3 linked regions of the Saccharomyces cerevisiae S288C genome follow. The protein of the gene in region 3 interacts with the protein of the main gene of each other region in a biochemical or structural test. Each region holds a gene or a part of one and is shown on either strand. Other genes may lie near its edges.

Region 1 (4,068 bases), on a different chromosome or scaffold from region 3:
GTGTTCATTTCATTGTCACTAAGGTTTAGCACTAATACATTCGGTAGTAGTCTTTGCATGCCAAACATATTCTTCAGTTTGCCCCTTGATAGGTCAACTTTCAGGATTTTTTCCCAATCGGAATCATAGCTTGGAGAACCAGATAGTTTACTAGTCAAGATTGATATTAGCTGCTTTTCAGTTTCGTTGAACGAGGTGTTTACTTCGGAAATGGACGTAATATCTTCAACCCGTTCAGCGGGGAAGGTCTTTAGTTTCTTGTGAGCTTCTAGTAGATTGGAATTAGAGATTGAACGAGAGGTACGCATTTGTCCTTTAACCTTCGCTCTAGTGCCATTTTTCGTAAAAAGGTCATTAAATTTTGGTGTGTCTAGGGGCGTGTCATCGCTATTTGCTAGATTTTCTTCTTCTTGTATTTTCTTTTGGCGGTAGCCAACATCACCTGGTTTGGTACTGGTTAATTCATACGCCTTCTTATCTAGAATTGAAGGTGCCTTACCGTTAGTGTGATTATCTCCAGTTGGTACCATTGTGGCGAACTGGGACTGGTTGGAAGATGTATTGTCCAGAGAATGTGAACTCGACACATCTAAGCCCTGGTTCAGCGGCGGATCCCATGCGCCGTGTGTATGGTTAAACTGATATCCCAATTGACCGGGTGAAATAGTGTTCAATGGAGGTTTCTTGAGAACTTTTGATTTTCTGCCTGATTGAGTTTGAGAGGACGACATGGATGACGATGATGAAAATTCAAAAGAATTGGAAGTGTCCTCTTCGTCCTCCTCCTTCGTTCTAGCGTTATCCTTATTATTAATATTAATACTATTATTATTATTATTATTATTATTATTATTATTGTTTTTGTTGTTGCTATTACTTGGATAAGAACCCACCAAATAATTCGATTTTTGCTTTTGTAATATGCCATCAAATACATCATGTGCCTCAGCTGCTGGGCCAGAATCGCTGTCATCAGAAAACGACGATGAGACCTTCTCAGCGTTAAAGAAATCTTTAGAATGTGAAATACTAATCGTATCATGGTTTTCATGGGTCTGCATAGTAGTAGTTTTATTCTTCATATCTAAATGTCTTTTAAATGTATTTGTTTCAAGAACTCCAGATAAATCCTTAACCAAGTCGCTCACAATGAGATCCGATTCAGGAACTTTGTTTGCAGTACCAACAGCGCCACCAAAGTTGGTACCACCGCCGCTACCAATACCAGGGAAATACTGCTTCCATTGAGCTTCTTGATGAGATGTAGCAGTCGTGCCTGAAAAACCTGACGGCACTTTCTGATGCACCGTGCTATAGTTGTTCAAAACTGTCATTGTAGGAGGTTTTTTGACAGAATCGGATATTGCAGGTTCCACAACTTGGGAAGTAAAATTTGAATCTTGAAAATCGTGGTTACTTTCATATTCCTTAAACACTTTACCACTGTTACTGTGCGCGTTCGAGCGTAGCTTTCGTGGTGAATTTATTGTAAGATTCTCCAGCTGGCTCGATAGTTCTGCCTCCTGCGTATCCATATCCATTTCGGTATGCTTTTACTATTCAACCTAGTCGGCAATTTTTTCACCTGAATATTGTTGAACACTTCTGGCATCCTAGATACTCATCTGTATTTATTCATTATCTGTTGTGCATCGTTAATAGCATTCCAGTAAACAAGTTTAGGTCACTACCCGCATAAGCCTTTTGGCGTTTGGCGTAACCCTCCTCGCGAAAAGAAACGGGACGCAAAAAAAAAAAACAACAAAACAAGAACAAAACAAAACAAATAGGACAGAGCCTTAAGGAGCTGCAAGGATCTTCTGAATATTTGGCATCGGCATTGTGGGTGGAAAAAGTGTCCAAATTGGAATAAATTGGTCAGAATAGAGCATTGATTCCAACTATGGACAGAGATATAAGCTACCAGCAAAATTATACCTCAACTGGGGCAACTGCAACTTCCTCAAGACAGCCCTCTACGGACAATAATGCAGATACAAATTTTTTGAAGGTAATGTCAGAATTCAAATATAATTTTAACAGTCCGTTACCTACAACGACTCAATTCCCCACGCCCTATTCTTCTAATCAGTATCAACAGACTCAAGATCATTTTGCCAATACAGACGCTCACAACAGTTCGAGCAACGAATCGTCGTTGGTAGAGAACAGTATATTACCGCATCATCAGCAGATACAACAGCAACAACAACAACAACAACAACAACAACAACAACAGCAAGCTCTAGGTTCACTTGTACCTCCTGCTGTCACAAGGACAGATACAAGTGAGACTTTGGACGATATCAACGTTCAACCTTCTTCTGTTTTGCAGTTCGGCAACTCTTTACCCAGCGAATTTTTGGTTGCATCCCCAGAGCAATTCAAAGAATTTTTGTTGGACTCTCCGTCCACCAATTTCAATTTCTTTCACAAAACTCCGGCAAAGACACCACTTCGATTTGTAACAGATTCTAACGGTGCTCAGCAAAGCACCACAGAGAACCCAGGTCAACAACAGAATGTTTTTAGCAATGTCGATTTGAACAATCTTTTGAAGAGTAATGGAAAAACACCCTCATCTTCATGCACCGGCGCATTTTCACGCACTCCTCTGAGTAAGATTGACATGAATCTCATGTTCAATCAACCGCTGCCGACATCTCCATCAAAAAGGTTCTCCTCCCTGTCGTTGACACCATATGGAAGAAAAATTCTGAATGACGTCGGTACACCTTATGCAAAAGCATTGATATCGTCTAACAGCGCGTTAGTGGATTTTCAGAAGGCAAGAAAGGATATTACCACTAATGCAACATCCATAGGGCTGGAAAATGCCAACAACATCTTACAGAGAACGCCGCTAAGATCTAACAATAAAAAATTATTTATTAAAACCCCCCAGGATACCATCAATAGCACTAGCACACTAACTAAGGACAACGAAAATAAACAGGACATATACGGCTCTTCACCGACTACCATCCAATTAAATTCATCAATAACTAAATCTATCTCCAAATTGGATAACTCTAGAATTCCCTTGTTAGCTTCGAGATCAGATAACATTCTGGATTCCAATGTGGATGACCAATTGTTTGATTTGGGGTTGACAAGATTACCTTTATCACCAACACCAAATTGTAATTCTTTGCATAGTACAACCACAGGTACATCTGCCTTACAAATTCCTGAGCTACCCAAGATGGGGTCTTTTAGAAGTGATACGGGAATCAATCCAATTTCAAGTTCAAACACAGTTTCTTTTAAGAGCAAATCAGGCAATAATAATTCAAAGGGTCGAATCAAAAAAAATGGGAAGAAACCTTCCAAATTTCAAATTATTGTGGCAAATATTGATCAATTTAACCAGGATACATCATCGTCATCTTTATCATCATCATTGAATGCAAGTTCGAGTGCAGGGAATTCAAATTCAAACGTAACAAAGAAAAGAGCAAGTAAACTCAAAAGATCACAGTCTTTACTTTCTGATTCCGGATCGAAATCACAAGCAAGGAAAAGCTGTAATTCTAAATCTAATGGAAATTTATTCAATTCACAGTAATATTAACCAAACTTGCATCTCACCTTTTTTTTTTAATCGAAATTTCAAGCATTTTTCTCTCCTTCGCTTAGTCTTGTTTCATCCCATTCAACATTTTTTATTACACAACATTTTGAAAATATCTTAAAAACAAAAAAGAACGATCACAAATTTATGGCACGAAGAATACATACATCAATCGAGGACATTTTTTACATTTTATTTCATAATCATCATTTTTTCTTTTCTTTACTACTATTCTGTGGTTTCATATTGTTCGTCAGGATGTTCATATATATTAAGGAGTTTAAACTATATACATATGATTAGGTAAATAGGTAACTATTTTCAATCAATTTATTATAAGTATCATTAATTGATGTTACTGCCAGATTTTACGATATTCCCTCTAATTTCCGGGTATCCCATAAAAGCAATTCCCCGGCGTATAATTTCATTATTATGACATGGCTGTTAGTATGGTATGGTGCCCATCACATAAGTCACATATCGAGTCGAAA
Region 2 (3,693 bases), on a different chromosome or scaffold from region 3:
TTAGAATAGGAATTCTTCTGCTCCGAGACATTATTGTTAAATTTCCTGACTCTGCATTCGAACATGTTTGCGCATGGGCAATGTCATTAAAAATAATATAGATACCAGTTGGATGATCAATAAATTTCGCACATCTGTATCCCCTTAACTTGTATTTAAAGTCCTCAACGCAGAACCTATGTTTGGCAACAAATATTTTGGAGACATGTAAAACAGGTCTGTTATTAACTACCCCCAAGAGATCATATGGAATTCTTTTTTCACTTCCGGACGAATGAGATAATGTGTCTACCTTAGGTTCCTTGGGCAAGGTAATATCTTTGCCCTGTAATTCCTTTGCTTTTTCGTTTTCTGCTTCTTTCTCTTTAGCCTTCTTCAGGTTCTCTTGTAACTTCTGTAGCTTTTTGACATTTATTTCAACAAATTTAGAAATGATATTATTCAAAATGGAATGCTTGTTTAAAATCACTTCGAACTTGAAGCCCATGATAAAGCAACCCGAAGATTCGTGCTTTCTAACGGCACTAAAGGCTGCTTTTGCTGCATCATTAATTTTTCCATCAGAACTGGCATACTTTATAAGATAAACATGCAAAGGTAAAGCGCTATTAGGATCATTAAATGCTTCAAAATGAGAAATTTCTCCATACTTTTTAAAATAGTTTTTTATTGATATGTCTTGGATATTGGTTGTTGTTGAATCTTGCGCTGGATAGACAACTATTTCACATGAAGGGGGAGGCCCTAAGGAGTACCTGTCATAAGATATGCGAGGCAATAGAATTAGTGAGTTCCTGCATTTTCTGTGGGTTGCCACTTTTCCGCTAGTCATGATACCGTTTTCATTACGTGGGTCGGATGCTTTTATCTCCGGATGTCTGTGTTTTATTTTGAACTTAAACTGTCCATCTTGTAACTCTTTGACTACGTAATAACCTGTTTCAGAAAATTCTTTATCTGTAGCCTTCCACGAAAGCATCTTATCCTTATTGAAGAACTCGCCTTTTATGGGATCAAAATAATGAAACTTAGACTTCAAATTATCTGTGTTGTATCTCAAAACTGAAGGTGGTCTTTGTTGCAAAAGCAGAGCAGATTCTGTGGGAAGAGATCCACTCGAAGACGCTAATGTATTGTGAACATTGCTATTTGAATACCGTGATTGAGACATGCCCCTCCGACTACTGATGTCAGATTTCTTATTTACATATGGGCCGCTTTGGCTGTTGTTAGTAGCATAGTACTGTCGCGTACTTGCATTGTTTGAACTATGTGGGCGATCGTCATTATAGCGTCGCCTTGTACCATCATTATGGTTATAACGTCGACGTTGATTATATTGACTAGAATATTGTTGGTGAGAATGGCCGTTTGAATACTGATAGTGACCAGAACGCGAATATTGAGGCTGTTCCTGGGGTTGTCTGTATGAACCAGAAGACGCGTGTGCTCTTCTATAGTAATTTGACATTCTCTAAACGCAGAGACCTCTTATAAAGATTCAACAAATAAGGAATGTTACCTATGCTAGTCGCAACTCTCTCGTAAGTTGAGGGTTGCTAACAGAAAAACGATGAGAAGAAACTTTTGAAAAATATTGTGTGAAAGCAGCACGAAACAGAGTATGAAAAAAGAATGCGGGCGTCCGTAAAGAGCTAGAATCGCAAGTGTCCAGAATATGCAAGGCTTTCGAATACACTCCTCACGCTTCTCTTCAGCAAAAATCAACTCTTTGTGATAAAACTGTGTATTTCTTTGTTCTTTGCCGTTGTTTACGTTAGTAAGAAATCGGCATTGAAAAAAAAAATCTCACACTAAAATTGCAGAAAAAAGTGTACAATATCAGTAAATAAAATTGGCCAAAACAATACCATTAAAACCAGTCATGTCCATGCAACAAGTCCAACATTGTGTCGCAGAAGTACTTCGACTAGATCCACAAGAAAAACCGGACTGGTCGAGCGGATATTTGAAGAAGTTGACTAATGCGACATCGATTTTATATAATACTTCACTGAACAAGGTAATGCTGAAACAAGATGAAGAGGTTGCTAGATGTCACATATGTGCATACATAGCGTCACAGAAAATGAATGAAAAACACATGCCTGACCTTTGCTATTATATAGACAGTATTCCCTTGGAGCCGAAAAAAGCCAAGCATTTAATGAACCTTTTCAGACAAAGTTTATCTAATTCTTCACCTATGAAACAATTTGCTTGGACACCGAGCCCCAAAAAGAACAAACGCAGTCCAGTAAAGAACGGTGGGAGGTTTACTTCTTCTGATCCGAAAGAGTTGAGGAATCAACTGTTTGGTACACCAACTAAAGTTAGGAAAAGCCAAAATAATGATTCGTTCGTAATACCAGAACTACCCCCCATGCAAACCAATGAATCGCCGTCTATTACTAGGAGAAAGTTAGCATTTGAAGAGGATGAGGATGAGGATGAAGAGGAACCAGGAAACGACGGTTTGTCTTTAAAAAGCCATAGTAATAAGAGCATTACTGGAACCAGAAATGTAGATTCTGATGAGTATGAAAACCATGAAAGTGACCCTACAAGTGAGGAAGAGCCATTAGGTGTGCAAGAAAGCAGAAGCGGGAGAACGAAACAAAATAAGGCAGTTGGAAAACCGCAATCAGAATTGAAGACGGCAAAAGCCCTGAGGAAAAGGGGCAGAATACCAAATTCTTTGTTAGTAAAGAAGTATTGCAAAATGACTACTGAAGAAATAATACGGCTTTGCAACGATTTTGAATTACCAAGAGAAGTAGCATATAAAATTGTGGATGAGTACAACATAAACGCGTCAAGATTGGTTTGCCCATGGCAATTAGTGTGTGGGTTAGTATTAAATTGTACATTCATTGTATTTAATGAAAGAAGACGCAAGGATCCAAGAATTGACCATTTTATAGTCAGTAAGATGTGCAGCTTGATGTTGACGTCAAAAGTGGATGATGTTATTGAATGTGTAAAATTAGTGAAGGAATTAATTATCGGTGAAAAATGGTTCAGAGATTTGCAAATTAGGTATGATGATTTTGATGGCATCAGATACGATGAAATTATATTTAGGAAACTGGGATCGATGTTACAAACCACCAATATTTTGGTCACAGACGACCAGTACAATATTTGGAAGAAAAGAATTGAAATGGATTTGGCATTAACAGAACCTTTATAACATATCCAGTATTAACTAAAAGTATATATTTGACCAATACCTGACATATCTTCTAAAGCATGCCTTTAGCCCTATAACGAGCTAATGTTAGCTCCATCTTTGCACTTATGATTGGATCAGCCCTCAAACGCTTTTGTATCTTTGCAGCTTCCGCGAAGGTAGTAGCTTGAAGTTTTTCATCCATAGTTCTTGCTAAAATTGCAGAATCTTCAAACAATTCTATGGCCTCGTCAATTTTTTCCATTTGTAATTTTAGTTGTGCTAACCCGATCTTCGCTTGTTCAGATCGTGGATCTAATTCACAGGCTTTTGTCAGCAGCTTAATGGCTGCGTTGAATTTCTCTTCATCCAACTGGGTTGGATCTTGAGAGGATTGTCTAGCTAATATAGTTGCTTTCCCAATCAAGGGTCCTATACCCACATGTATTTTTTCTTGCACTTCTTCCAACCTTTTAGCAATATCATATTGTTTAATTGCAGTATCAAAATCGCCCCTATCT
Region 3 (3,235 bases):
AATGTTTCGGATGTTCTGTTTTAAGTCCGCGGGAGGCCTTTTTATTTTTCGCTTTTTTAGAGATTTCACGAATAAAAGCGTTGCAGAAATGCAACTTCAAAAGAGACTGAAGGAAACACAGATAGAAGAACAGTCTTCAAAGCAATCAATTCGTGTCGGTGCAGCTTAAGAAATGACTTTTATGCAACAGCTTCAAGAGGCTGGGGAAAGATTTAGGTGTATCAATGGTCTTTTATGGGTTGTTTTTGGGCTTGGTGTCTTAAAATGTACAACGTTATCACTTAGATTTTTAGCTCTTATTTTTGATCTTTTTTTACTACCAGCAGTCAATTTCGACAAGTATGGTGCTAAAACTGGTAAATACTGTGCTATCACTGGTGCAAGTGACGGTATTGGTAAAGAATTTGCTAGACAAATGGCGAAACGTGGCTTCAACTTGGTATTGATCTCGAGAACGCAATCTAAATTGGAGGCTTTACAAAAAGAACTAGAAGATCAACATCATGTCGTTGTAAAGATTCTAGCCATTGACATTGCGGAGGATAAAGAATCCAACTATGAATCCATTAAGGAATTGTGTGCGCAGTTACCAATCACCGTTTTGGTCAATAATGTTGGTCAATCACACTCCATTCCTGTTCCATTTTTGGAAACAGAAGAGAAGGAGCTTAGAAATATTATCACTATCAATAACACTGCTACATTATTAATTACACAAATCATTGCACCAAAGATTGTGGAAACTGTGAAAGCTGAAAACAAGAAGTCGGGTACTCGTGGTTTGATCTTAACCATGGGCTCATTTGGTGGTCTGATTCCCACCCCACTTTTGGCTACATACAGTGGTTCGAAATCATTCTTACAAGGTTGGTCTAACTCTTTGGCTGGGGAATTATCTAAAGATGCTATCGATGTTGAATTAATCATTTCATATTTGGTCACTAGCTCGATGTCTAAAATCAGAAGATCATCTTTAATGATCCCAAATCCACAACAGTTTGTAAAATCCACTTTAAGAAGCGTTGGCAGACGCTGCGGCTCTCAAGAAAGATACGCTACTATGACCCCTTACTGGGCGCACGCAGTGTATCAATTTGTAATTACAGAGACCTTTGGCGTTTACTCTAAGATTGTTAACTCCATTAATTATTCCTTCCATAAATCTATCAGAATTAGAGCCTTAAAAAAAGCCGCAAGACAGGTTAAAAAGGAATAGAATTATCGTTCTCGAGATAGTTTTTATACAATACATATATATATATATATATATATATTTACAAGAAAAGCATGGCTTATGTATTATACTTGCTTATGTACCAATATATACATATATGGCCTTATTAGGGCAACAAACGCCAAAAATAAAAACGAACCTAAATGAGAAAAAAAGAGAAAAATTTGGAAAACAACAAGAACTCAAAAAAAAAAATTGGTGGAAGGACCAAGTCCTCTTGAAAGAAAATTTAATACTGCTTTTCCAGAATATCATATTGGAAAAAATATTCAAGCCAGCACATCAGCTACAGTGGAAAATAGCCCAGATCAAATAGAACTATCCTTCGAACATGAGCGGTGAATTAGCAAATTACAAAAGACTTGAGAAAGTCGGTGAAGGTACATACGGTGTTGTTTATAAAGCGTTAGACTTAAGACCTGGCCAAGGTCAAAGAGTAGTCGCATTGAAGAAAATAAGACTAGAGAGTGAAGACGAGGGTGTTCCCAGTACAGCCATCAGAGAAATCTCATTATTGAAGGAATTAAAAGACGATAATATTGTCAGATTATACGATATTGTTCACTCTGATGCACACAAGCTATATCTTGTTTTTGAGTTCCTCGATTTGGACCTGAAAAGATATATGGAGGGTATTCCAAAGGACCAACCGTTAGGAGCTGATATTGTTAAGAAGTTTATGATGCAACTTTGTAAGGGTATTGCATACTGCCACTCACACCGTATTCTGCATCGTGATTTAAAACCGCAGAACTTATTGATTAACAAAGATGGGAATCTAAAACTAGGTGATTTTGGCTTAGCGCGTGCTTTTGGTGTTCCGTTGAGAGCTTACACACATGAAATTGTTACTCTATGGTATAGAGCTCCGGAGGTATTACTGGGTGGAAAACAATATAGTACAGGTGTCGATACATGGTCCATCGGCTGTATATTTGCCGAAATGTGTAACAGGAAACCAATCTTCAGTGGCGATAGTGAGATCGATCAGATTTTCAAGATATTCAGAGTATTGGGAACGCCGAATGAAGCTATATGGCCAGATATTGTCTACTTGCCTGATTTCAAGCCAAGCTTTCCTCAATGGCGCAGAAAAGACCTATCACAAGTGGTACCAAGTCTAGATCCACGCGGTATTGATTTGTTGGACAAACTCCTCGCGTATGACCCTATTAACCGGATTAGCGCCAGAAGAGCAGCCATCCACCCCTACTTCCAAGAATCATAAGCATTATAATCTATTTCGCTATTATATTACAAATGCTACTGCACTGTCATTATAGCCTAGTAAAGTATATAGTGAATACAATATACTCAGTTTCAACATTATGATGGGTAACTCCATCAGAAAATATATTCATCGTCATATACGGAACATTCAGTTATACGCGAAAGTAAAAGTGAGAGCTTTTCAGGGGTTAAAAGCTGGGCGTGTTCCATGACGTATTTACCGAGGTCGTATTATCAAAGAAAATGAAAAAAAAAAAAAAAAAAAAAAAAGCGAAGAGGAAAAAGACAAACGAAAAACAAAACGAAATAACGCATTGTATGCTGGGGCCTCAATTGAACTTCTTTGACTATAAGGAGTTCGCTTGTTTAAAGCCGTTTCGCATCTGACTCGCCCTTGGTTTTTTTCTCTGTTCTTGTTTTTGACCTCCGCAAATTCATTGCTCTTTGAATTTTGAAGAGTTTCATTGTCACCGTTGAATAACCGAGACGGGTATTGTTTTTATTTCCTTCATTATTTACATCGCAACACGATTTTTATTAGCTTCCTCAAGGAGCGCTGACCGTATATAATATAATTTCAACAACCGAACAAGGCAGTGCGAAGCGGTGCACCTTACAACAGTGCTAAAGTAGTTACAGTAAACCAATTAATACGTGATGAAGAAGGAGTTGAAAATTCTTATAATAGCGAACATTGCATTACTTATCTCTATAATACATTACACATTTGATTTGTTGACGTTATGTATAGATGATACTTCCAAAGATGCG

What was found. The genes of interacting proteins can lie anywhere in the genome.
Region 1: of the proteins of CDC28 (region 3) and NDD1, one has a biochemical effect on the other in vitro, tested with the Saccharomyces cerevisiae proteins (6 studies listed by BioGRID).
Region 2: of the proteins of CDC28 (region 3) and ORC6, one has a biochemical effect on the other in vitro, tested with the Saccharomyces cerevisiae proteins (7 studies listed by BioGRID).

The regions. Positions count from the first base shown.
Region 1 is NC_001147.6:1,034,307-1,038,374, reverse strand, and holds NDD1 (Ndd1p), read left to right. Parts: upstream 1-1,903; coding exon 1,904-3,568; downstream 3,569-4,068. Other genes in the region: NUD1 (Nud1p), read right to left, coding at 1-1,541. UniProt on the Saccharomyces cerevisiae protein: Transcription activator involved in G2/M transcription through its association with FKH2.
Region 2 is NC_001140.6:343,821-347,513, reverse strand, and holds ORC6 (origin recognition complex subunit 6), read left to right. Parts: upstream 1-1,885; coding exon 1,886-3,193; downstream 3,194-3,693. Other genes in the region: histone methyltransferase SET1, read right to left, coding at 1-1,471; protein channel TOM71, read right to left, coding at 3,246-3,693.
Region 3 is NC_001134.8:558,513-561,747, forward strand, and holds CDC28 (cyclin-dependent serine/threonine-protein kinase CDC28), read left to right. Parts: upstream 1-1,565; coding exon 1,566-2,462; downstream 2,463-3,235. Other genes in the region: IFA38 (ketoreductase), read left to right, coding at 173-1,216; mannosylinositol phosphorylceramide synthase catalytic subunit CSH1, read left to right, coding at 3,122-3,235. UniProt on the Saccharomyces cerevisiae protein: Cyclin-dependent kinase that acts as a master regulator of the mitotic and meiotic cell cycles. Required to drive the G1-S transition. More than 200 substrates have been identified. Substrate specificity is in part regulated by the bound cyclin protein.